2 linked regions of the Astyanax mexicanus genome follow. The protein of the gene in region 2 interacts with the protein of the main gene of each other region in a pairwise test. Links are inferred from orthologs where the notes say so. Each region holds a gene or a part of one and is shown on either strand. Other genes may lie near its edges. The genes, in order: dph3 and sergef.

Region 1 (12,857 bases), on a different chromosome or scaffold from region 2:
GAAGTGCTGGAATTGCATCAAAGACATAACTAACACCGCTTCGAATTTTGCAGCATTTATTGTAAAATGAAACGTATTTATATAAAATATATTTTCACTGAGCATCTACATTAAAATAAATAACTTTTTAACATTAGCAACATTAACTGACTGTCCATGTGCAAAAACACTGCCATTGTAAATGTCTTGAAAAGCGAGAGAACGGAGAGATTGGAAGTGTCGTATCTCCCCACACTGTAGTTCTACAAATACAGTTAGTTAGTAGCGTCATTTTGTAGTGGAGCTGAGGGCATCAGGTCCAAGAGACCCAAACAGTCTCTACCACCTGGACCAGTTTATATCTGCTGATCCATCATCTCTAGGCCACCTCCAGTTTGGTTTCTGATGCAGTTGGAGCATCGATGACTTCCCCGCACATAAACTGCTCCTGTAAATGTAAAGCAGAAAAACATTTTAAACACAGGGTGCAGGTCATTATCAGAATACTGTGCCTCTTCACTATCATAACCTGAGAGGATGAATTAAGATCTTCATTTGTTTTGACTATTTTATTTTTAAGCCTTCAGACTAGGGCTGACTGATATAAAATAAGATCACAATATTTCAGGCTATTTTTGTAAATGCAATATTATTTTATTTATTAGTTTCAAAACTACTACTGCAACCAACCAAACAAATATAATCTATTTGTCTATTTGGTGAATAGTTACTTACCAAGAATTTACCAAGATTTTGTATAAAAAATATATAATAAGGTAACAAAATAAGGCAACAACAAAAATCTACCACAAAACTGAAGTGCAGCATATTTAGTGTATGTACATAAACTGCAAATAAAGCAAATATAGTAAATAGCAAAACAAAATAGATATTTCCACACAATATGGAGTTTATTTTCTATAATTTAGATTCTTCAAAGTAGCACCTTTTGCTTTAATGCTAACTTTGCAGACTCTATGCATTCTCTCAGTGGCTTCTTGAGGACATTCTCATTTTAGAAAATAATACAAATAAAGAAAGTTTGTCCAAACATTTCATGCTACGATATGGCACACCCCTACTTCAGATTACACAGCAATCATATTTTCCAGCTTAATCCATTTTTTCCAGTCATGGATACTGATGTACTGAGTAATAAAACAATATTGCACTAGCTATAAAGACTCCAGCACTGGGCTGTGGAACAGTGAATCTGTGTTCTGTGCTCCTTTAAAATACGATGTTTCAAAGTCATAATTAGCACAAGCTAACCTGAGTGTCAAGTGTAATACAAAGATATAGTCATTATTTATATCTTTTAGAATATAGCTTAAACTATATCCACTTTTACAATATACTGAACAAGCCTATTACTCACTGTATAAATACATGTTCTTGATGCCAACAGCCTGAATGATTATGTTTGATATTACTAACAACTGAATGTTAACTTGCCTTGTCGTAAATTACTTTAACTATTAATGAGCAGCTCGGACAGGTGGCCACCTCTTCACCATTTTCCAAATCCTCCTGCAAGAACACAGACAGTATGAGGAGGAGGTTAAACAGACAAACAGACTGACAGGTACAGCTTGTTTATTCACATATCTACTACAGCAGCTCGTGAGTGAGGTTAGCTATATAACCTAAATAAGGGAGAAAAGTTTTAACACCAAGATGTCAGAAAAGCAGCTTCATTTGCAGACTTTGTTTAGCCAGTGGTGGACAGAAAACTAATAATTTTTTTTTTTTTTACTGCACTTAAATATTCTTCTGTGTACAATAGGTGTTGCCACCATTTAATCCCATTCACATTATATAATTATTCACTCGGACCCCCCCACGTTTAACATAAAATATTTTGTAGCCTGGTTATATTTGCCTGTTATTTCGTTTTTTTTTTTTTTTTTAAATTAACAAATTTTTGTTGCTATATCTTATTAGTTGGTGTAAGGTGATTGATTCAGTTGCCTTCTAATCAAAAACCAGAGTAGTGAGAGAGAGAGAGAGAGAGAGAGAGAGATATAGAGAGAGAGTAATGTGCAGCTGCTTGTGTGTTGAACTGTGGTTAAAAGTTTATCTTTGTAAAGTTTAATTGTGTAAATACGGGACATTATTTCTGCAGAGCCCAGTGAGCTGTACAGAGCTAGAGCTGCAGAAAAGGGAGCTGTGTCAGACAGTAAAATAGTCATTAAATGAAGTCACTTTTGTATGTGCTTCGGACGTCCCTTCTAACTGTAACTCCACTACAATTAAAACTCAAGTATCTAAATATAAAGAGTAATGGATGTGTGCATAAAAACCAAAACACGTCAAAACAAAAGAAGCCTAAAGGTAGAATTCCAATCAGAGTGCATACTTAAGTGTGTTCTATTCTGAAGGCAGCTGCCTAGCTGAGCAGCATTTTTAGGCAGCATGCCCGCGCTCCCGAGAAAAGGACTGTCCCATTTAGAAGGCAGCATATAATCCTTCGTGGGCAGCACCCTTATTTTACCCCAATTTAGAAGGCAGCATGTATTCCTAAATGCTAAGCTAACCCCTGCTATCATGCAAGGAGAAACCCTGCTTGTAGCTAAGCTAAACCCTGTTAGATGGAATAACTGTAGATTAACCTGTAATTCAGTGATTTAATGTGTAAATAGTGGAATAGTGGAGTTATGACTGTGTTCTCACTGTAACTAATTCAGATTATTTTGTCCACAGGTATTAACGAGATTACCAGGCCAGGAGCGGCTGGAGGCATGATTTCCTTTAAATGTAACAAAGTTTTCTCTCTTAACATTATTAATTTTGCTCGTTTTCTTTTTATTGTCACTATGTTTATTATAGTTTCACATCTGAACTAGTGGATATGGGTAAATTTCTTACTTTAATTTGCAAATAAATAAGACATTTATTAAACGTGTTATGTTTTTGTTTTATGCAACTAAAATTAAAATAAACTAGCTGACTGTGTATGAATGTACTATTGTGTGAAACAGCTTAGTTTGATGATTTAGTTTTTTCGTACAAAATATTTATTATATTATGGTTACATTACTCATGCATTTCTACAAAGCAACTAATCAGAAATAAATAAATAAATAAAACTGGCCATGCTCTGAGTATAAAGTGATGTAAAGTGTATAAATTAAAATATATCAAGAATGTTTAAGTTGATTTGTAATATTTAGATTAGTAACTTGTTGCACATTAGCCGCCGCTGATTTGAGATTTATCCTGAGGTAAGTGGTTAATAACTCAAATTTGTAAACAGAGCCCACAAGCACAACACGCTAGACATGATAATAAACATTTATACAGACGCCGAATAGCCTGCCGCCGCAATCCCTAGCCCCCAGTGCATTTATATGTACTGAGGAAGGTGTTTCACACACCTACACTGCTCAAAAACAACACAATGTAACTCCCAGTCAATCACACTTCTGTGAAATCAACCTGTACTGTTAGGAAGCAACACTGATTGTGAATCAGTTTCACCTGCTGTTGTGCAAATGGAAGAGACAACAGGTAGAAATGAGAGACAATAAGGATATAAAGATATAAAGGAGTGGTTCTGCAGGTGGTGACCCCAGACCTTTCTCTGTTCTTATCCTTTTTGGCTGATGTTTTGGTCACTTTTGCATTTTGTCAGTTCTCTCACCATAGAGGTAGTATGAGGCAGTGTGTCTGGAGATGCCGTGGGGAACATTCTGCTGCCTGCAACATCCTCCAGCATGACAGATTTGGCAGTAGGTCAGTAATGGTGTGGGGAGGCACAGACCTCCATGTGCTCGCCAGAGGTACCCTGACTGCCGTTAGGTACCGTGATGAGATCCTTAGACCCATTGTGAGACCATATGCTGGTGCAGTGGGTCCTGGGTTCCTCCTGATTATCCTGCAGGTGGCTGAAGTGTGTCAGCAGTTCTTGCATGATGAAGGCATTGATGCTATGGACTGACCCACCCGTTCCCCAGACCTGAATCTAATCCAGCACATCTGGAACATCCTGTCTCTTTCCATTCACCAACATCACACTGCACCACAGACTGTCCAGGAGTCGACTGATGCTTTAATCCAGGTCTGGGAGGAGATTCTTCAGGAGAACATCCACCGCCTCATCAGGAGCAGCCCAGGTGTTGTAGGGAGGTCATACAGGCACGTGGAGCCAGCACACTACTGAGCCTCATTTTAACTTGTCTTGAAGAATTTCCACTGAAGTTAGATCAGCCAATCATTTGATTTTTCACTTTGATTTTGAGTATGATTCCACATCCAGACCTCCATGGGATAATTTTGATTTACATTGATCATTTTTAAGTAATTTTATTCTCAATGCATTCCACTATGCAATAAATAAAGATTATTCATTGAGATCTAGGATGTGTTATTTTAGTGTTCCCTCTTTTTCCTTTTTTAACAGTGTATAGTAATCACAACTCTACCTATTTTTACACAGTTTGGTTTGTTACAAGCGGCAGAGATGTAGTAATGATACAGGGCTGTCACACATTACAAATATGTGCTTTCATGCTGAAATACTTTGTATTATGCTCTTTAACAAAAAAGACAGACATATGGTATGGTACATTAATTAAATGTTTAGATTAATTTATTTTATATTTACATGTACATACATACATACATACTCTCTCTCTCACACATAATCTTTGGAGTGGGAAACCATGTCACAAAGGTTGGAGGGTAAAAAAAAAAAAAAAAAAAAAAAAAGCCTAAAATATTAGGAATAATTTCAAGAGTCAGTATATACATTTTTACAGGTAACCTAAGATTAAAACCACATTTTCCTTATGATCTCTTTGATTTTGCTTTTTAAATCACATTTCAAAAGGCGCTTTATATATGTACAATAGCTCATCACATAACCAATTTTCAATACTTGAGCAAACATTTTTAGTGTAAAGAAATATTTTAAAAAGTTTTAACTTTTGAGATTTCACAACACAGATCCAGATTTACTATATGCATGATTAACATCATACTACATAAAAAATGCATTTTATTTTGAAAATACTTTTGTCACAAAGATTTTGGCCACTGGTGTTATCAGGTGTTATCAGATATTGTTAGCTCTGTTAAACTTTCCCTGGGTCACGGGTTATCAAAGAATAAGCATCTCAAGACATGAGAAGGTGAGTCCTTACTTGCTCATTTTTAATTATTGGTGAAAAAATATTTTTTTATCAAATATATTGCCATATGTCTTTTATTTCATTGATTTAAGTAGTTACACATGGTCTCTTGACTGTCAATGAGGCAGGCTTTTCACAAAATCCTCCATTTTCACTGGTGTTACAGATGTGTAACCTTGTGGTGTTTGGCCTTTTTCACGACTTTTTTTTATATTAAAAGTATCCTGCATGAAATGTTGAAATCATTCATTCTTATATCAGTAGTTAAATTTTCATGGTTATTGGACAAAAATGTATTATTATTATTATTATTATTTTAATAGTAAAGGAAGATGCATTTAAGTATATGGAAAGAAAGGTATATTTTTGTTATTTTCAGTGCTTGTGTAAAAACATACTTTGGTAACATGTTAAGTTACATTTAGCCACATTGTAATTTCAATTAAAATAAATAAAATGAGGACAAAATTAATTCTTCAAGATGGGATAACACCAGTGACAAATTGACCAAGAATTTGCATTTTATGTTAAATATATTTATTTAATATTAATTAAATATTTATATTTATATATTAATATTTATATTCAAATCTATTTGAAATTAAGCTCTCCTTTTGCATATTTGGTAAATGGAGTTGTTAACAGACATTTTAAGGTTTTTCTGGGACAAATGAAATAGATTTTTTTTTAAATGTATCCACTTGAATTCCCACTCCAAATGGAGAATTACCTATATATATATATATATATATATATATATATATATATATATATATATATATATATATATATATATATATATATACACACACACATACATGTCTATGGACGTGATGACGTAATAGAGAGCTGAATTTGAAGGCAATGATTAAGTTACCTGGGCAGCTGCTTTCTGAATGGACCTCAGCTATAGTTTTGACCTGATAAAACAACCCATAATAGTAACTACTCTAATAACTGGGCTTTCTATTATATATATAGGTGTGTGTATTTCTAGGCTGCTCTGGATGATAGATAATAACTCGGGCAGTAGCCCAATAAGCAGTTTAACTAGCTCCAGACTGCTCATGCCCCCTGTGTAAACACTTACCTTGGTGATGGCGAATCTGTCTCCACACGGACACGGGAAGTAGTAGGTCTCCGTTTCCTCGTCAAACTCGAAATCCTCTATTTCCACCTCGTCGTGATAAACAGACATTTTAACCCAGCCGGCTTCACTCACACGAGCAGCGTGACCTGCCGTCGCAGGACTGTGACGTAGAAGATGAGTTTTGCCAATGTACCCACCCACCCACAGCACCCTCTCTCCACCAGATGCCGCTGTTTCCCACCGAGTACCATCACACTGCTGCACATACACCAATCAGACAGAACATGATCACCTCTTTCTCTTCTACATTAGCCATGCTATCAGCTCCACTGATCACTTGGGACACTGTGTAGTTCTGTAATTAGGGCCCGAGCACCGAAGGCGCAGGCGAAAATTTAAAAGTTCCATAGAGCATGGGCATGGGCGTAGTTCAGGAGCTCCATAGCGCCACCAAACGTCGGCAGTAGCCGGGATGAAGTTTGTCCAATGTGCACCAACTTTGGTATGCTCATTGACCTCCTCATAAAGAACAAGGATCACTTGGTTTTATTTGACTCCGCCCAACAGGAAGTCAGCCATTTTGACAGGAAGTTGCAAAATAAAAAGTTTCCCGCTGGGTTTCGGAGGGGTTAAAATGTTTGAAAACTCCTAATATTTTACAGAGCTATTTGGCTTAGGCCAAACTTTGACCGTAAGTTGGAAATTTGTAAATTCGTGTTTCGTCAGCTCTCTAGCGCCACCTATTTTATATCACATTAATGAAAAGCTCTCAGCCTCTTGATAATTGGCAGATTCAATTAGTCTTTGAAATGATTTAGAAATATTCTGTTGTTTTTCTCATGTGTAGCTAGAGGACTCTATAGCGCCCCCTATTTTGTTTAGGCCATTAAATTAGCTGTAGCTGTCTCAAAATTTCTCCAATATTCTCGATTTTTGGCAACAACATAGAAATTATCATCCCGCACATATTACCTATTGGCTTGTATTAGCTCCGCCCAACAGGAAGTCAGCCATATTGAAATTTGTGGAAGTTTTACACATTTTTCACAAACTCATTCAAACTCCTCCTAGATTCTTTGTCAGATTATCTCTAAATTGGGCTTGGATAGGCTCCAGACATACATGGTGATAAATTGCGAAGGAATAGTCGATAGCTGAAACGATGACGTAATGGCGGGCAGTTGATTTAATGGAGACACAACACTAAACCAAATAGAAACATTAGCATGGTCAGAACACAGCTGCTTGGAAATTCATGAAACTTGGCAAAAACATAAAAGACATCATTACACACATTTTCAGTGTTGATATGATTGACTCCGCCCAACAGGAAGTCGGCCATTTTGAAAAATGTGCATTTTACACACATTTTTTGCATACTTTGTCGAACTCCTCCTAGGGAACTTGTCGAATACGCTTGATATTTGTCAGCAATAAACTACTAACACCCCTAATGATAAATTGCAAAGGAATAGTCGATATCTTAAACGTGGACTAAATGGCGGACAGTTGAATTGCTTCAGATGCCCCATTAAAACAGGAAGTGAATACATTCTGGTGCTGGTAGGTGTTTGAGGAGGTTAAAATGGATGAAAACTTACGAAACTTTACAGGCCTGCTTGATTTACGTGGTCCTTTGATCTGAAATTGAAATTTCATATATACATATTTCATTGGCTCTATAGCGCCACCTAGGTTTCAATGCATATTTGACATTACGAGGATGGTCAAAAACTCTTGAAAATGGTCAGATTCCATAAGACCTAGAAACACTTTACAAATATTGTAATAATTTTTTCATGTGTAGCTAGCAGACTCTACAGCGCCCCCTAATTTGTTCGGTAAATAAATTAGCTGTGAATGTGTCAAATTTTGTCTAATCTTCTCAAATTTTGTTAGGAGTGTAGATAGTGTGACCCTGCACATATTTGCAATTGGCTTGTATAGCTCCGCCCAACAGGAAGTCGGCCATATTGGAATTTGTAATATTTTTACACATTTTTCACAAACTCATTTAAACTGCTCCTAAAGTCTTTATCAGATTAACTCTTATTTCGCTGTAAATGAACAACAGACATATTTGATGAAAACTGCCAAAGGATTAGTTGATCGCTAAAACGGTGTCGGAATGGCGGACAATTGATTTACTAGAGACGCAACACTAAACCAAAGTGAAACAATGACACGGTCAGAACACAGATAATTGAAAATTTCTGAAACTTGGCAAAAACACAAGAGACATCATTAGACACGTTTTTAGTATTGGTAGGACTGACTCCGCCCAACAGGAAGTCGGCCATTTTGAAATAATTGCATTTTACACAATTTTTTTGCATACTTTGTCAAACTGCTCCTAGGGAACTTGTCGAATACTCTTGATATTTATCAGCAATAAACTACTAACATACCTGAGGATAAATTGCGAAGGAATAGTAGATATCTTAAACGAGGACGAAGTGGTGGACAGGTGAATTGCTTGAGATACCCCATTAAAACAGGAAGTAAACACATCTTGGTGTTGGTAAGTGTTTGGGGAGGTTGCAATGGATCAAAACTTTACAGGACTGCTTGACTTACGCTCTCCTTTGATCTGAAATTGAGATTTCATATATACGTATTTCATTGGCTCTAAAGCGCCACCTAGCATTCAATACAGAGTTTACATTACGGGAATGCTCAAAAACTCAAAAAAAAAATTGGCCGCTACAATATAACTGTACATTTCATGAGAAATCACATATGGGTCAAATTTTCACCGGTTTCTCGGTTTGGCCCGGTACGATTTGCGCTGATATGCGAGGGCCCTACGTCCCCCTGTGACAGGGGGACAACTCGTTACAGACTGTAGTCCTGTATCTGTTTAGATAACCAGTATGACCAACAACACCAAGCTAGATAACCATTATGACCAACCACATCGCGCTAGATAACCAGTATGACCAACCACATCACGCTAGATAACCAGTATGACCAACAACACCAAGCTAGATAACCAGTATGACCAACCAGACCAAGCTAGATAACCAGTATGACCAACAATATAAAGCTAGATAACCAGTATGAACAACCACATCAAGCAAGATTTCCAGTATGACCAACCACATCAAGCTAGATAACCAGTATGACCAACCACATCAAGCTAGATAACCAGTATGACCAACCAGACCGAGCTAGATAACCAGTATGACCAACAATATCAAGCTAGATAACCAGTAAAACCAACCAGACCAAGCTAGATAACCAGTATGACCAACAATATCAAGCTAGATAACCAGTATGACCAACCAGACCGAGCTACATAACCAGTATGACCAACAATGTCAAGCTAGATAACCAGTATGACCAAACAGACCGAGCTAGATAACCAGTATGACCAACAACATCAAGCTAGATAACCAGTATAACCAACCAGACCAAGGTAGATAACCAGTATGACCTACAAAATCAAGCTAGATAACCAGTATGACCAACCAGACCGAGCTAGATAACCAGTATGACCAACAACATCAAGCTAGATAACCAGTATGACCAATCAGACTGAGCTAGATAACCAGTATGACCAACAACATCAAGCTAGATAACCAGTATGACCAACCAGACCAAGCTAGATAACCAGTATGACCAACAACATCAAGCTAGATAACCAGTATGACCAACCAGACCGAGCTACATAACCAGTATGACCAACAATATCAAGCTAGATAACCAGTATGACCAATCAGACTGAGCTAGATAACCAGTATGACCAACAACATCAAGCTAGATAACCAGTATGACCAATCAGATTGAGCTAGATAACCAGTATGACCAACAACATCAAGCTAGATAACCAGTATGACCAATCAGGCAGAGCTAGACAACCAGTATGACCAATCACATCAAGCTAGATAACCAGTATGACCAACAACATCAAGCTAGATAACCAGTATGACCAACCAGACTGAGCTAGATAACCAGTATAACCAATTACATCAAGCTAGATAACCAGTATGACCAACAACACATAGCTAGATAACCAGTATGACCAACCAGACCGAGCTAGATAACCAGTATGACCAACAATATCAAGCTAGATAACCAGTATGACCAACCACATCATGCTAGATAACTAGTATGACCAACAACACCAACCTAAATAACCAGTATGAACAACCACATCAAGCAAGATATCCAGTATGACCAACAACATCAAGCTAGATAACCAGTATGACCAACCACATCAAGCTAGATAACCAGTATAACCAACCAGACTGAGCTAGATAACCAGTATGACCAACCAGACCGAGCTAGATAACCAGTATAACCAATTACATCAAGCTAGATAACCAGTATGACCAACAACACCAAGCTAGATAACCAGTATGACCAACCAGACTGAGCTAGATAACCAGTATGACCAACAATATCAAGCTAGATAACCAGTATAACCAACCAGACCAAGCTAGATAACCAGTATGACCAACAATATCAAGCTAGATAACCAGTATGACCAACCAGACCGAGCTACATAACCAGTATGACCAACAATATCAAGCTAGATAACCAGTATGACCAAACAGACCGAGCTAGATAACCAGTATGACCAACAACATCAAGCTAGATAACCAGTATAACCAACCAGACCAAGATAGATAACCAGTATGACCGACAAAATCACGCTAGATAACCAGTATGACCAACCAGACCAAGCTAGATAACCAGTATGACCAACAACATCAAGCTAGATAACCAGTATGACCAATCAGACTGAGCTAGATAACCAGTATGACCAACAACACCAAGTTAGATAACCAGTATGACCAACAACACCAAGCTAGATAACCAGTATGATCAACAACACCAACCAAATAACCAGTATGAACAACCACATCAAGCAAGATATCCAGTATGACCAACCACATCAAGCTAAATAACCAGTATGACCAACCACATCAAGCTAGATAACCAGTATGACCAACCAGACCGAGCTAGATAACCAGTATAACCAATTACATCAAGCTAGATAACCAGTATGACCAACAACACCAAGCTAGATAACCAGTATGACCAACCAGACTGAGCTAGATAACCAGTATGACCAACAATGTCAAGCTAGATAACCAGAATAACCAACCAGACCAAGCTAGATAACCAGTATGACCAACAACATCAAGCTAGATAACCAGTATGACCAATCAGACTGAGCTAGATAACCAGTATGACCAACAACATCAAGCTAGATAATCAGTATGACCAATCAGGCAGAGCTAGACAACCAGCATGACCAATCACATCAAGCTAGATAACCAGTATGACCAATCAGGCAGAGCTAGACAACCAGTATGACCAATCACATCAAGCTAGATAACCAGTATGACCAATCAGGCAGAGCTAGACAACCAGTATGACCAATCACATCAAGCTAGATAACCAGTATAACCAATTACATCAAGCTAGATAACCAGTATGACCAATAACACCAAGCTAGATAACCAGTATGACCAACCAGACTGAGCTAGATAACCAGTATGACCAACAACATCAAGCTAGATAACCAGAATAACCAACCAGACCAAGCTAGATAACCAGTATGACCAACAACATCAAGCTAGATAACAAGTATGACCAATCAGACTGAGCTAGATAACCAGTATGACCAACAACATCAAGCTAGATAACCAGAATAACCAACCAGACCAAGCTAGATAACCAGCATGACCAACAACATCAAGCTAGATAACCAGTATGACCAACCAGACCGAGCTAGACGACCAATATGACTAAGCTAAATTAAGGCCCAATCCGATTTCACCCCTTGCCCCCCCTGTCTTGCTGGAACAGTGTTGATATTTCTGATCACATGTGATTTTTCAGATTTCCATGAGAAGACCTGCTTCATGTTTAAATGCAGAACTATAGTAAATAGATAAACTGACCGGTTAATGAGGTGAGGTGGACTGTATTTGCTCAGTAGAATGAGTTTCTATGTTAATTGTACGCTTTTTTGCTCATTACATAACTCATCCCGTTATTTCCTCTGTTCCTCTGATAAGATGTAAACACTCTTGCGTAATCGACGCTCTTCAGTGTAAACTCTATTTCTGGTTCTGTGAAAAGTCAGTATAGTAAATAGGAAATTGGGTTTGGAATGAAATCTGATTGTGCAGTTATCTAATGCAGAGTTAATAGGGTATCCTCTGGCGAGGTAAGTGAGATGACCCTGAACAGCCCACTGTCTTGGAAAGTCAACAGAACATTATTAAATAAAGTCAGCTATGCTTAATATGCTTAAACAGAGAGTTTAAATCTAAGTATTCCAAGAACTAGAGAACATGTCTTATCCGTAGTTTCTAAGAATCTCATCAGTGCTATCTCACTGTTTTTAGGTTTAAGTAGCCTAATTTAGGTTTAATTAAACGTGTATTTTAAGCTGTGTTGAGAACTCTATAAAATAAGAATTTTAGCTTCCACAACTTGATACCACATTTCCCCCAAATATTTTCTTAACTTAAAACTTAAAATGTAGTGTGTCTCTGACTTTTTGCTCAATTAACTTGATAAAAATCATTCAAAAAAGTTCAATCAAAAGTCAATCAAACTTTGCTGTATTGATTGATATATTGTCAGAGAATAAAGGTCTGACTATTAAATAATATATGTAAATAAAGTGTTTTACA
Region 2 (11,881 bases):
AATCACATCTCTGGTACAAAAGTACAAACAATACAGAACCACAATTTGTTCTATGGCATATCTTAACAAAACTTTGGAGTACATTTATTTGTATTTATATTACTTAGAAATAATTGTTCCTAATACATTGTTACATATGTTTTCTTTACCAGTGGAGACCCCATCCCCCGTATTGAGTTCACGGAAGAAGAGGTGAAGACGTGGGGTGTTGTGTTCCGAGAGCTAAATAAACTGTATCCCACTCATGCCTGCCGAGAACACCTGAAGAACCTACCTCTGCTCACCAAGTACTGTGGATATCGTGAGGACAACATTCCTCAGCTAGAAGACGTCTCACGCTTCTTAAGAGGTGAGATGGGACACCACACCACATACTGAGTCTTCTCTGGTGTTAGTGTGTGTCTGTGTGGATGGGAGTTTAGATGGTATTCTCATTGAGAACTTCTTGCAGAACCTCTGTTCACTATTCACTGTTTATGCTGTGTTCACTGTTCACTGTTTAAGCTCTTTATGATGTTAAATGTGTTGTTGTATTCTCAGAGCGTACCGGTTTCAACATAAGACCTGTGGCAGGATACCTCTCCCCCAGAGACTTCCTGGCAGGCTTGGCCTTCCGTGTTTTCCACTGCACACAGTATGTCCGGCACAGCTCGGACCCTCTGTACACACCTGAACCGTAAGTATATATAACAAGCATATGTAATTAATACCTCTGTAAATATTCCATGGAAAATCAGTCAGTGTGTAATTTTGACAATATGTTCAAATGCTGATACACTATATGACCAAATGTCTTTGAAAACCCCTTTTAATGAATCAATTAATTCAGCTACTTTCGAACAACTAGCTAGAGCATAGGTCGGCAATAGGCGGCCCGCGGGCCAGATGCGGCCCGCAAGCAAGAAACATCTGGCCCGTGAGGTTGAACTATAATGAAAAAAAAATCGGACTGTCCGTCTCAAAAATGCTCTTTATTTAGAAACTTAATTTTCCAAAACAGAAAAATTTATTAAAGATTTTTTGATAGAGCCACGGGCTGTTAGATAACTGCTAGCTTCTTTATTCTGTTATTTTTTTTTTTTATTCATTTGTTTTTTTTTATTTAACAAACAGGTATATCATTAATTGCGCCCCAATGGTCAGTCCACAGATTTCACCCACAACAGCCCACTTGAATGTCTGCTTGTCATTTTAAGAGCGCCCTCCCGCCACCGCGCCCGCCAATCTCCCCCCCCGCCAAGTGCTTGTGGCCCGCCATGTAATGGCTTGGAAAAAATCTGGCCCGCGGCCAAACTTAATTGCCGACCCCTGAGCTAGAGGATTATAATGCCCCCCAGAATTAAGTTAAAGAATTAGGGATGAGCTCAATCTAGCAGAAAGCCTTTCCTACACAGTAGAAACAGTTGCTTTGAAAAAAAGCATATAATCTTTTTTTTATACTCTTGATTTATCTAAAGAATGAATAACTAGTTGTCCCATTACTGTTGTCTATGTATTATTGCTGTTTATGAGCGTGTGTCATAAAATATGCAGTAATAGTAGTATTGTTAATTGTTAACAAAAACATTTAGTTCAATGTTAGACTGAATGTTTTGGTGATCTGTATGTTTCAGAGACACATGTCACGAGTTACTGGGTCACGTACCTCTTTTGGCTGAGCCCAGTTTCGCTCAGTTCAGCCAGGAGATTGGACTTGCTTCACTGGGAGCATCTGATGAGGCAGTTCAGAAACTTGCCACTGTAAGTTTCAAAAGGAACATTATCTGTGTTATCATTGCTGATTTTATTGCATGACATAATTTTTACTTTATCTATACTGATCATGACTGATTACCACCTCACTGGTTTAAAAACAACAGGCAATTAAATCTAAATATCACTCATTATTGGTGTGTGCTTTCCTATGCTAGATTTCTAAATTGATTTAACTAATCTTTTTTATAAATACTGATTGCAATATCTACCTAGAACACCGTATAAGTTCATCAATCTGAAATGTACATGCAAACATGACAATTAATGTTGTTCTTTCTATTTCAGTGTTACTTCTTCACTGTGGAGTTCGGGCTGTGTAAGCAGGAGGGGAAACTGAGAGCATATGGAGCAGGTCTGCTGTCCTCCATCAGTGAACTGAGGGTAATATTCATAGCTCACTTCTCTCACACACTCTATCCACTATCCCAGAACACATTTTAGTAGAACACATTTAAACATATTTTAACCTGATTGTGCCATCTCAAAAGATATCAAAGTTAGCATGCTATTACACTTTATTTATTATTTTTTTTATGTATTTATTTGTTTATTATTATTGTGAGGACATTTAATGGTTAATATAAATGTGGCCTGCATGAATGTACTTACACATTGCTTCAAAATGCATGACTATAATTAATTTGGCTAATAAATCTTTTCTCAGCACGCTCTGTCGGGGAATGCCCGGATCATGCCCTTCGACCCCAAAGTTACATGCAAACAAGAGTGCATCATCACAACTTTTCAGGACGTGTACTTCGTGTCAGACAGCTTTGAGGAGGCCAAAGTCAAAATGAGGTGTGTGAGGATTCAGAAAGTAAATCATATCTTGAATTGATTTATACCTGCAATATTTACACTGCTTTTTAATACCATCCCAGTGAAAAACAAGCATCTCCATTTATGTTTTGTATAAGATTTTTTATATATTTTAAATAGATGAACTGCCCCTTTTCTAAATTTCATGTTGAATGGAACAATATACATTTTCAAAATATATCTAACATAATAAACTCTTTTACATTGATGTCAGTTGATAGTTAAGAAAATTTTATCTCTCTCCTTTAGTGCTGCTGTATTGGAGATGCAGGTTTTCATTGAACAGTGACGATATATGCAGTTCATGCTATCAACTAAAATTGCATTAATTTCCCACTTTTCAGGGAGTTTGCAAAGACAATCAAGCGGCCATTCACAGTGCGTTACAACCCCTACACACAGAGCGTGGACGTCCTAAAGGACACAACTAGCATCAACAGTGTGGTGGAGGAGCTGAGACATGAGCTGGACATTGTGGGAGATGCGCTGAACAGACTCAACAAACATCTAGGCGTCTGAATGACTTACAGTGATCTTACAAATCGTCTTATATACACTGCTTTTTCCATCAAAGAGCAAAACCACAGAACTGTTTCCAGTTTCCACCAAATCCACAATAGTGCATCTAATGACAATATCTCACTCATTGTTCAAATCCATTTCAAATTATGTTAATCATCATTTCTGTTTTAGTACCATGGAGCTTTAAAAACTTGCAGTGGTACTAATTTAATTAACTTATTCATCTATTGTCTTTTACACAATACTTGTGGACATTATATTTGCTTTAAATGTCATTGTGATAAAGTAATACTCTCTGCCATCAATATATTGTTTTTGTGATTTCAGCTTTTTTGTGTAGAAGTCATTAAAATCATCTTGGCATCATAAGGCACTTTATCATATAATTTGATATTTATTATGGGCTTGTACCTTAAAGCTTTAGTATCACTAGTTTTCTATCTCTATCCACATTATTAGGGGAAAAGGACAAGCACTTGTAATGTTTTGTCTCAGTGTGAACCTAATTCTATCATATTTTTATGTTTATATTTATTATTAGCTGTGTCTCATGTCCTGTATGCTCTCTTTGTTTTATCTTCATAAAATCAGAGCTTTTATTCATTTTTTCATTTGTCACTGGGTATGCAAGGGTCATTTTACACATCAGACATCTAAGACTTTGGTCTAATCAATATAGATGCTCCTATTCTCAAACAGTTCATTTACAACAGATTTACACTATGATTTACACTTCAGGTTTCAAATGGCTAGATGAATGTGTTGTAATGTGTATATGTGTAGAAGCTTATTATAATAAAATAACTTATTTTTGTACTTTATTGGAGTCTGTTATTTGCATCTTACTTTTGTACAGCATTGCAGTATTTGTCATATATATTTTAGCTCTGCCTGTGGCCTTTCTGTAGTCTTTCTGTAAATTATCAAACCATCTTTAAAACAACAAAACATAAGAAAAACAACTGTGAGATTTTTTGGGGGAGCCTTCACCCAGTTTTAAGCACACTTATATTTATTTTCTTACTGTGATAAAAAAAGAGCATGTGGCTGTTAAAATCCATATGTAACATAAATGTCACAAGAACAATTTCATAACTTAAATTTTACCATTTTTTTCTAGAACTCATGTCATAACTAGTTATATGAAATATCAAACATTTAATTAAAGATTTTGAATTGTTAAAATGGTTAAAGCAGATCTGTAGAAGCTAAAAATACACTTTTCATCTCATACATAATTTTGACTCATACATTCTGTGAATAAGGTCAAATGAACAAACATTGTCCTATGATGCTCCTAGGGTGTTCAGTATATGCCACTTATGGATGTCATGAGTTACAGTGAAGGACAGATTACTGTAAGAAACTTTACAGAGCTTGTTTTTTTATAGATACAGGTCTACAGATTAAACGTTAAAACACAGCTAAAGGATAAAGTCTAAATGATGTAATGAGCATTCGCCGCCAGATGGCGCTGTTTCTGCATCTCAATCAAAAAAAAAAATCCACCTGAGAACATCCTCTGGGTTTGTCATAATGAATGGCTCCATATGGATACAGCTAAATATATGAGGCTTTATGATGTTTTAGTGTAAAAGACATTTGTAAAGCTTTTCAACTACCGTTAAGATTTTTTTCCTTCACACTTACCTTGTTTGGGGTTGAACCAAAGTAGATGGTTGTAAAGGGACCCTGAACCTCAGTCCAAAGGACCAGAGTTGGTCTCGGTCCAGATCTTCTGAACCATGGTCGGAAGATTATGTAGTGTGAGAGCACTATTCTAGATGCTTTCGGATTTTCTGACCATTTACAGAGAGTCAGTCTTAAAGTAAACCAGAGGAAAAAATAATTGATGGACACTAACACAGACTGGGAATATTTTTTTTCCTGTAACAGTAGATTAATCCTTGTTTATAAACAGAAATATTTTTTTAACCACACAAAACAAAATAGTAATTCAGTAGGACTGTTCATGCTGTGGTAAATTACCCTAAAAGTGTGAAACCAAAACCAACCGGCCCAAATATCTAAAATGTAACTAAATACGAACTGTTAATTGTGTGAAAACGCCCTTTACCAACCACTCAGCTCACAGTATCAGTAATGCTAGCGTCTTTATTGCAGAAATATCGTTTGCTTTAGAAAAATAGAAACATATAAGTAAGTTTTCTTTTGATTTTGTAGTGAAACACTTTATTGTACGTTCTATAATTTAATGAATATTCTGGATAAGTAGTTCATTAATATTTGTAATTTGAGTTTTAGCCGTTTAGCTCCATTCACCCCCATTTATTGAGGACTCGCTGGCGGGCTCCCTCTAGCGGTGCGCAGTGATTTTCTGCTGTAAGGGGGGAGACAGGAAGTGGGTTCTGGCCACACACATCATGGCGGATCTGAAGGACGCGTTCAGCATGTATGTCGTCATCATAGTGCGCCCACTGATGGACCCACCGAGGATACGAAAACATGTCTTGTACACGTGGGTAGGTTTCTGACCATCTATCAAATACTGCCGAGTTTCCTGAGAGCGCTGATAGGAGTCTGTAGAGATGAGAGAATCAGCAGAGCAGTGTCTGTACCGAAGCGCTGAGATTAACGGGGTTTAGTGCTCTTTTTCTCACCGGTTTAGCTCATATAACAGTTTTTAAGAAATAAACAACACTGTTTCAGAGGGCGAAAGCGTGAAACAAGCATTTCTGCAGTGTCCCTTTCAGTTAGTTAGTTAGTTAGTAGTGCTATATGTTATCTGGAGATATGGGACTGGGTGCGATTAAACCCTGTAAATGAGGCGAGTTTATTCATTCATGCAGTTTCACTCATAAAACATCTCTATACAGCAGACAGAAAGTTACTGAAGTTGATTTGTTGGAGGCAGGAAAAATGATCAAGCATAAACATCACTTTAACAAGGGTCAAACTGTGATAACTAGATGACTGGATCCGAGCATCTGAAAAACAACAGAGAGATGCTCTAGTGGAGCGGTTCTCATTGCTTTTTAAATGGTTGCCACCTTTATTTGGCAACGTGTTGAGTCCCGGAATGTACCAATTTTCTTCCGTATTTCCATAAATGTTTAATACGCATGTCTGTCACACCCACACATCAACACTAAATGCCTTCTCCCTGGGCTCCTCTTTCGGTTACAGACTCCCCTTTAAAACGTGTCTGCGAGTGTTTTTGGTGGCGCGCGGTGGGATGTCTGATATCAGACAGCAAGGATCAGAAGAGCAACACTGCCCACACTAAAAAAACAAAAGACCCCAATAAGCATCAGTCTCACAGTTCTTCACCCCCACTCCTCTCCTGAGACTGATCTGGGTAATTATGTTATTATCTGGTTGTGATTTTGCTAGAAGATGTCAGTGCATGAGGCAGAGATTATTTTAGTAGACTATTGTGGTTTGATTGTTTGTTTAGGTGTTAGAATGGTTACATGTTGAGTTTTGTCGAATAAATGATTATTAATATACAGTAGTAAAAGCCAATTTAATATTTTAAATAGCCAAAATAATGAATGAACAGTTAATAACAGTTAATTGTTAAGATAAAATGTTTATTTAGAGATCCCCAGACACTGTATTCCTCACAAATGTTGACAAAATACACAGAAATCTGTACAGATCTTTATATTTTTGTGGAATACAGTGTTCAGTGATCATTACATAAAGGTGCCCTGTCCCACAGGTGGAGCTGTGGTGGGCGTCCCTTATTTTAAATTCTGAAAGGTGGCATCCCTAGTGTTAAAATATATATAAAAAAAAAGTCCCAAAGTTGAAACACATATAACTGAAAATATCTTATTTGACTGAAACTCATAAAAATGCCAAACTGCAGTTGAGTTTCATCTTGTAATGGATGTCAATTAAGTTTTACTTTTGATTATAAATTATGTATGATTTATCATATGCAGTAAATACAGAACAGTACGCTAGCTCTGCAGCTGGTTTTACCATAAACCCAACCACTTTTCTCCTGTATGATCTTACACAAGCCTCTTCAGACCTTAGAATTCCCCAAGTAAGGGTTTTGTATTAAACATACCTGGCAACCTATAGCCGATTTTAAGTCTAGGGGGAATGAGAAATACTGTGCAGTTTTAATGTGGCACAAGATCTTATCACACCAGTCAGTACAAGTCAGAACCTACCAAAAGTCAAATGACAGCTGGAGAACCAGTGACAGGGTCATGGGTATCCAAGGCTCAATCTGAAGAGGTTATCCTGGCTATGTCTTGTGGAGAATATTTTTTTTGGATTTGTAGATGCACCCAGAGGAAAGGAGAAAAGAAGATACCTTTGTACTAATTGCAGTCTAGTGTTGGTTGAATAAATGATACGTAAGTTTTGTGGTTTCTCTCAGGGTGCAAACAGTTTTGGGCAGTTGGGTCAGGGCCATGCCGAAGATCAGGCGGAACCGCAGTGTATGGATGATGGTCAGCACAGCAGAAAACTACGGGCCATTACTGGCGGAGGCGGCCATTCAGTGCTCATTACTGGTGAGATATCTTTTAAATGTTGACATGTGAAACCCATTATAGTTGACTCTAGGGTGGCAGAATTGATCTTTTTATTTTTATCACAATGTACACACGTGCAATAGGACTGCAGCAATTATTCTATATAATCGTCAATGTTAAGTACAAAATTTAGTCAACTCCAAATGTCAGTATATTTCAGTAATTTGTAACTACAGTGCGCTACAGAAAAGGCTGAGGACAGAAAAGCAATGGGTGTAAGGGCTGTCTACTTACTTTGTTTGTCATCAAATGTGCCAAAACACAATAGATTACACGTTTACATAATTAATGTGAGCATATTCCACACGAAAATGTATTATGGACACTTAAAGGGAATTTAAATACCAAATTCAGCTCTTTCTATTATTTTGAAGCTAGGAAAAGCTGGAGGAGGAGCTGTGCCCACAGGAAGCAAAGGTGACTAATCAAAAAATAAGTGACAAAATAGTACACTATTGTGCAATGTTCCCCTTTTTTATTTGTTGCTTGAAGCAAAAAGAAAAAATCACCTGTATTAATTTTTCATGACACATCTAACAGAAACAGATTATATCTGCCAATTACCATTTGCTAAAATGTCGAATTGCAGGGAAAAAAATCCAAAGTTTTTCAGTATTATACGGTCCTAGTTGCTAGACTGTTAATAAAATCCTTTTAAACATGAATTGAATTAGAACAGTGATCATCCAGTTCACACATCATTAGAATGTTTTGTATTTACTATGGTTATGTGGACAAGGGTGCCCTGTATTAGTCCTCTCTGTAATAACACATTGTTTTCTCTCTACTGTCTCCAGAATCAGGGGAGCTGCTGGTTTGTGGACAAAATCACAAAGGCCAGCTTGGGCTCGGACACATATTGGATATCATGACCTTTCAGCTTTGTCCTTTGCCTGGAAATATGACTGTTCAGCAAGTATCTTGTGGATGGGACTTCACCATTATTCTTACAGGTAGCTTCCAGTTAAACAACTACTCTTGAATGAAATCTAGTTATCCTGACCAACCCATTAGTCAGCCAATTTAAAGAAAAGTCATGTCTGTCTTGCTTGGAGAGCAACAGTCTTAAAAATATATCTTGCAGATGACGGCCGCGTCTTGGCGTGTGGCTCCAATGCTTTTGGACAGCTGGGTGTCTCACCACAAATAAAACACACAGCAGAGCCGCTGCTCATCAAGGTAAACACTGATCATACTATATATTAGCTTGCATGGTTATGTACATGTGCCATGCTGTTTGGAATGCCCTCAGAACGCTCTTCAAAGGAGTTCTGTTCAAATTGGGCTTGATGGCACATTGCATTTTCCTGCTGGAATGTCCCATTATTATTGAGGTAAATGAAGTCCATGAAGGTCACAAATGGTCAGGGGCACTGGTCAACAATGTGTTTATGTTCATCAGTGAACCCAACCAATGTTGTAACAAAAAATACACCCCACACCAGTGGGGAGCCACCAGCCTGCACAAGGCCTTGCTGACAACTGTAATCAATGGCTTTATTCTTCTTCTAACCTCATTTCCTGCTTCCCCTCCTTTCCTGCTCTATCCCACTATTCCCCTTTTGCCTCCTTTAGGTCCTTTCAAAAATCTTTTGCCTTGGACTTCTATGTCCTCTATTGCTAATGTACATCATTATTTGTAAGTCGCTTTAGATAAAAGTGTCCACTAAATGCTTTTTTTAATGCACAGTGTATTTGAGTCGTCCCACAAATTATTGTAATGGTGTTTACTAATAAAATAATTTAAGAATTACTTAAATAAATTAAACAAAAACACATCAATGGGATTTCCTCTGAAACACAATGTTCAAATTTTTTTTACCATATGAAAAGAGACCATTGGTCTTTTATGCTGATGGAGCTGTTTGCTGGAGTTAATCACAATATGACTTTTTCTGTGTGTATCATGTGTATCAGGTTCGGACTGATGATTTTTTTTTTACTCTGCGTCCTCCACAAGGCTCTTTAGTTTAACACATTTTACAGTCTCTCTGGCTGAATTCGAGTCAGATATGATAAAAAGCTGAGTGACTGACTCTGAACTTTGCTGTGCTGCTTTTTTACGCATTGGAACAGAAGTAACAGATATCTTAGCAGATGTCAGTATGTGTGTGTGTGTGATTGCAATACTGTAGAATAATTATAGTATATAATAATATGTATAATAATAATTAAATTACAATGTTTCTAATGTTGCTTTTGTAGTCTTTGAGTGAATCAGTCATCAGTGTAGCTGCAGGGCTGAGACATGCACTTGCAGTAACAGGTATGTCTTTCTTCATTTTCCTTACTTCTATCATTCTATACTTTTGTCTCTTGCTCCTGCATTACTTACAATTACAGTGTGTGTGTTTGTGTGTGTATGAGAAGGTTCAGGTGTTGTATATCAGTGGGGTACAGGTCTGTCTGCTCAAGCAAAAAGAGCACTGAATCCTCAGCCTGTCCCAGCCCACCTCAACTCACAGGAGCCCTGTTTAGTCCTAGGTAAACACCCTAACACATTCTTCTTCAGTACACAGTGTACAAGGGTTTATCTCACTTTGACTGTGTGAGGTCTGCCAAACATACTGAACACTTTTTTTATACAGATTTGTATAGCTTTTCATTTAATGCAGTTATTGCTGTTGCAAGAAATGTTCCCGTTCTTGTCCTAATCTAGTTTTTTTGTATTCATAGGACTGGAACAGGTAACCTCCCAGAGAGTGGCTGCAGGGTCTGGCCACTCTGTCTGTTTGACAGGTGAGGTATTTCTCAATGAGTTCTGTAATAATATTGGTCAGTATCAATATAATGTGTATTTTGTATGTATAGCGCTGTTTCATAAAACACATTATTACAAAAATAGAGTAATAAAAACCCCTTTAAGAAGGCAATCTTTGTCATTTCCATCACAACCTTCATGCTGTTTCCTTTCAAGAAACTGAAAGCCTTTACTGCATGTTCAGCAATCAATAACAGTAATAATATTTCTTGCATTGCCTTCATATTTAGAATTAAATATTTATCTGTCCATCTGGTTGTAGTAAAATATCTCAGCAATAATTTTAGAAAACAAGGTCACCATCAACAGTTCAAAATGTTTACAAGCACATTTTCAATAAATGCAAATTTTTGGAAAAAAGTGGACCCATAATTCACTGTAAAACTATAGTGTTTGGGGAATTTAGCAAGCATTATAACAGAATTCATAGAGCCAACATTATTGCTAGATTGGAACTAATTACTGTTGCTAAATTAATTGAGGGGGAGCTTTGACATTTTGTTTTGATCCCGTAGAAACTGGGGATGTGTTCCTGTGGGGCAGTAATAAACACGGCCAGCTGTGCAGCAAGCATTCCTTCCTGCCATTTCCTTCTGCTTTAGATCGCTCACTGCTAAACGGAGAGAGAGTTTCTGCAGTATGCAGCGGCTGGACACATGTAATTGCTCAAACGGGTATGAACACACACACACACACCTGACTGGTAAAGCACTTATTTCTTTGAGTTTGAACATTTTCAGCATAAAATCCCACTTTTATGATCAGACAGATGCTTTGTCATTCAAGTGATGTTTACGTTAGCTCAGACAAAGATTTTACCGGAAAGCTAATTTCTTTGAGTGTAAAATTGATGGCAAAGTAATTTCTGTAAAGGTGTCTTTCAAATACAGTGGCATGTAGAATTTTGGGAGACCCTATGGTCAAAGTATTTGTTCCTATGGATAGCTAATTAGTAGTCATTGTAGGAGCATTTTATTCAATTAGTATAATAATCATATATTAACATAAAAATGATTGATTTTAAAGAGCAATACACACACACACACACACACACATTATATATATATATATATATATTAATATATATATATATATTAATTTTAAAAATATATTAATTTTAAAAACATTCTAATTAAATACCAATGCTGTTTCTAGACACAGCCAACATAACAGTTTATGGTAATGTGCCCTCCTTGCCAAGACATACATTATGGGCAATATAAAGGTCAGAAAAATTCTACTTGTTTCCACAATGTGTCAGGCTTGATCACATGATTTTACGTAGCACTTCACACTGTCAGAATATTGGCTACAGGGGCCCAACTTTTAAATGCCCCTTTGAATGCCATGTTCAGTCAAATGAATTGGTGACAAATTCCAGCTTTTTGTTTCATAAATGAAAATAAAGCATGATACATTCATAGCAGAGATGTATATAAATCTAGATTATATTATATCACCTGGAAATTAAGCCTACTTTGGTGTTAAACACATTAGAGTTCTTGTA

Evidence for each region.
Region 1: the proteins of sergef (region 2) and dph3 interact in binary tests that used the Homo sapiens proteins (3 or more experiments, as listed by UniProt). The link is inferred for Astyanax mexicanus from reciprocal best matches to the Homo sapiens genes SERGEF and DPH3.

What each region holds. Positions count from the first base shown.
Region 1 is NC_064412.1:43,332,966-43,345,822, reverse strand, and holds dph3 (DPH3 homolog), read right to left. Parts: upstream 6,369-12,857; 5' UTR 6,310-6,368; coding exon 6,202-6,309; intron 1,510-6,201; coding exon 1,435-1,509; intron 428-1,434; coding exon 359-427; 3' UTR 40-358; downstream 1-39.
Region 2 is NC_064409.1:48,171,706-48,183,586, reverse strand, and holds the start of sergef (secretion-regulating guanine nucleotide exchange factor), read left to right. Parts: upstream 1-5,490; 5' UTR 5,491-5,507; coding exon 5,508-5,579; intron 5,580-6,243; exon of another isoform or gene 6,244-6,415; intron 6,416-7,456; coding exon 7,457-7,592; intron 7,593-8,410; coding exon 8,411-8,566; intron 8,567-8,697; coding exon 8,698-8,792; intron 8,793-9,818; coding exon 9,819-9,879; intron 9,880-9,983; coding exon 9,984-10,097; intron 10,098-10,289; coding exon 10,290-10,352; intron 10,353-10,889; coding exon 10,890-11,048; intron 11,049-11,881. Other genes in the region: tph1a (tryptophan 5-hydroxylase 1a), read left to right, coding at 153-349, 541-676, 1,614-1,740, 2,041-2,136, 2,420-2,553, 2,919-3,093. UniProt on the Homo sapiens protein: Probable guanine nucleotide exchange factor (GEF), which may be involved in the secretion process.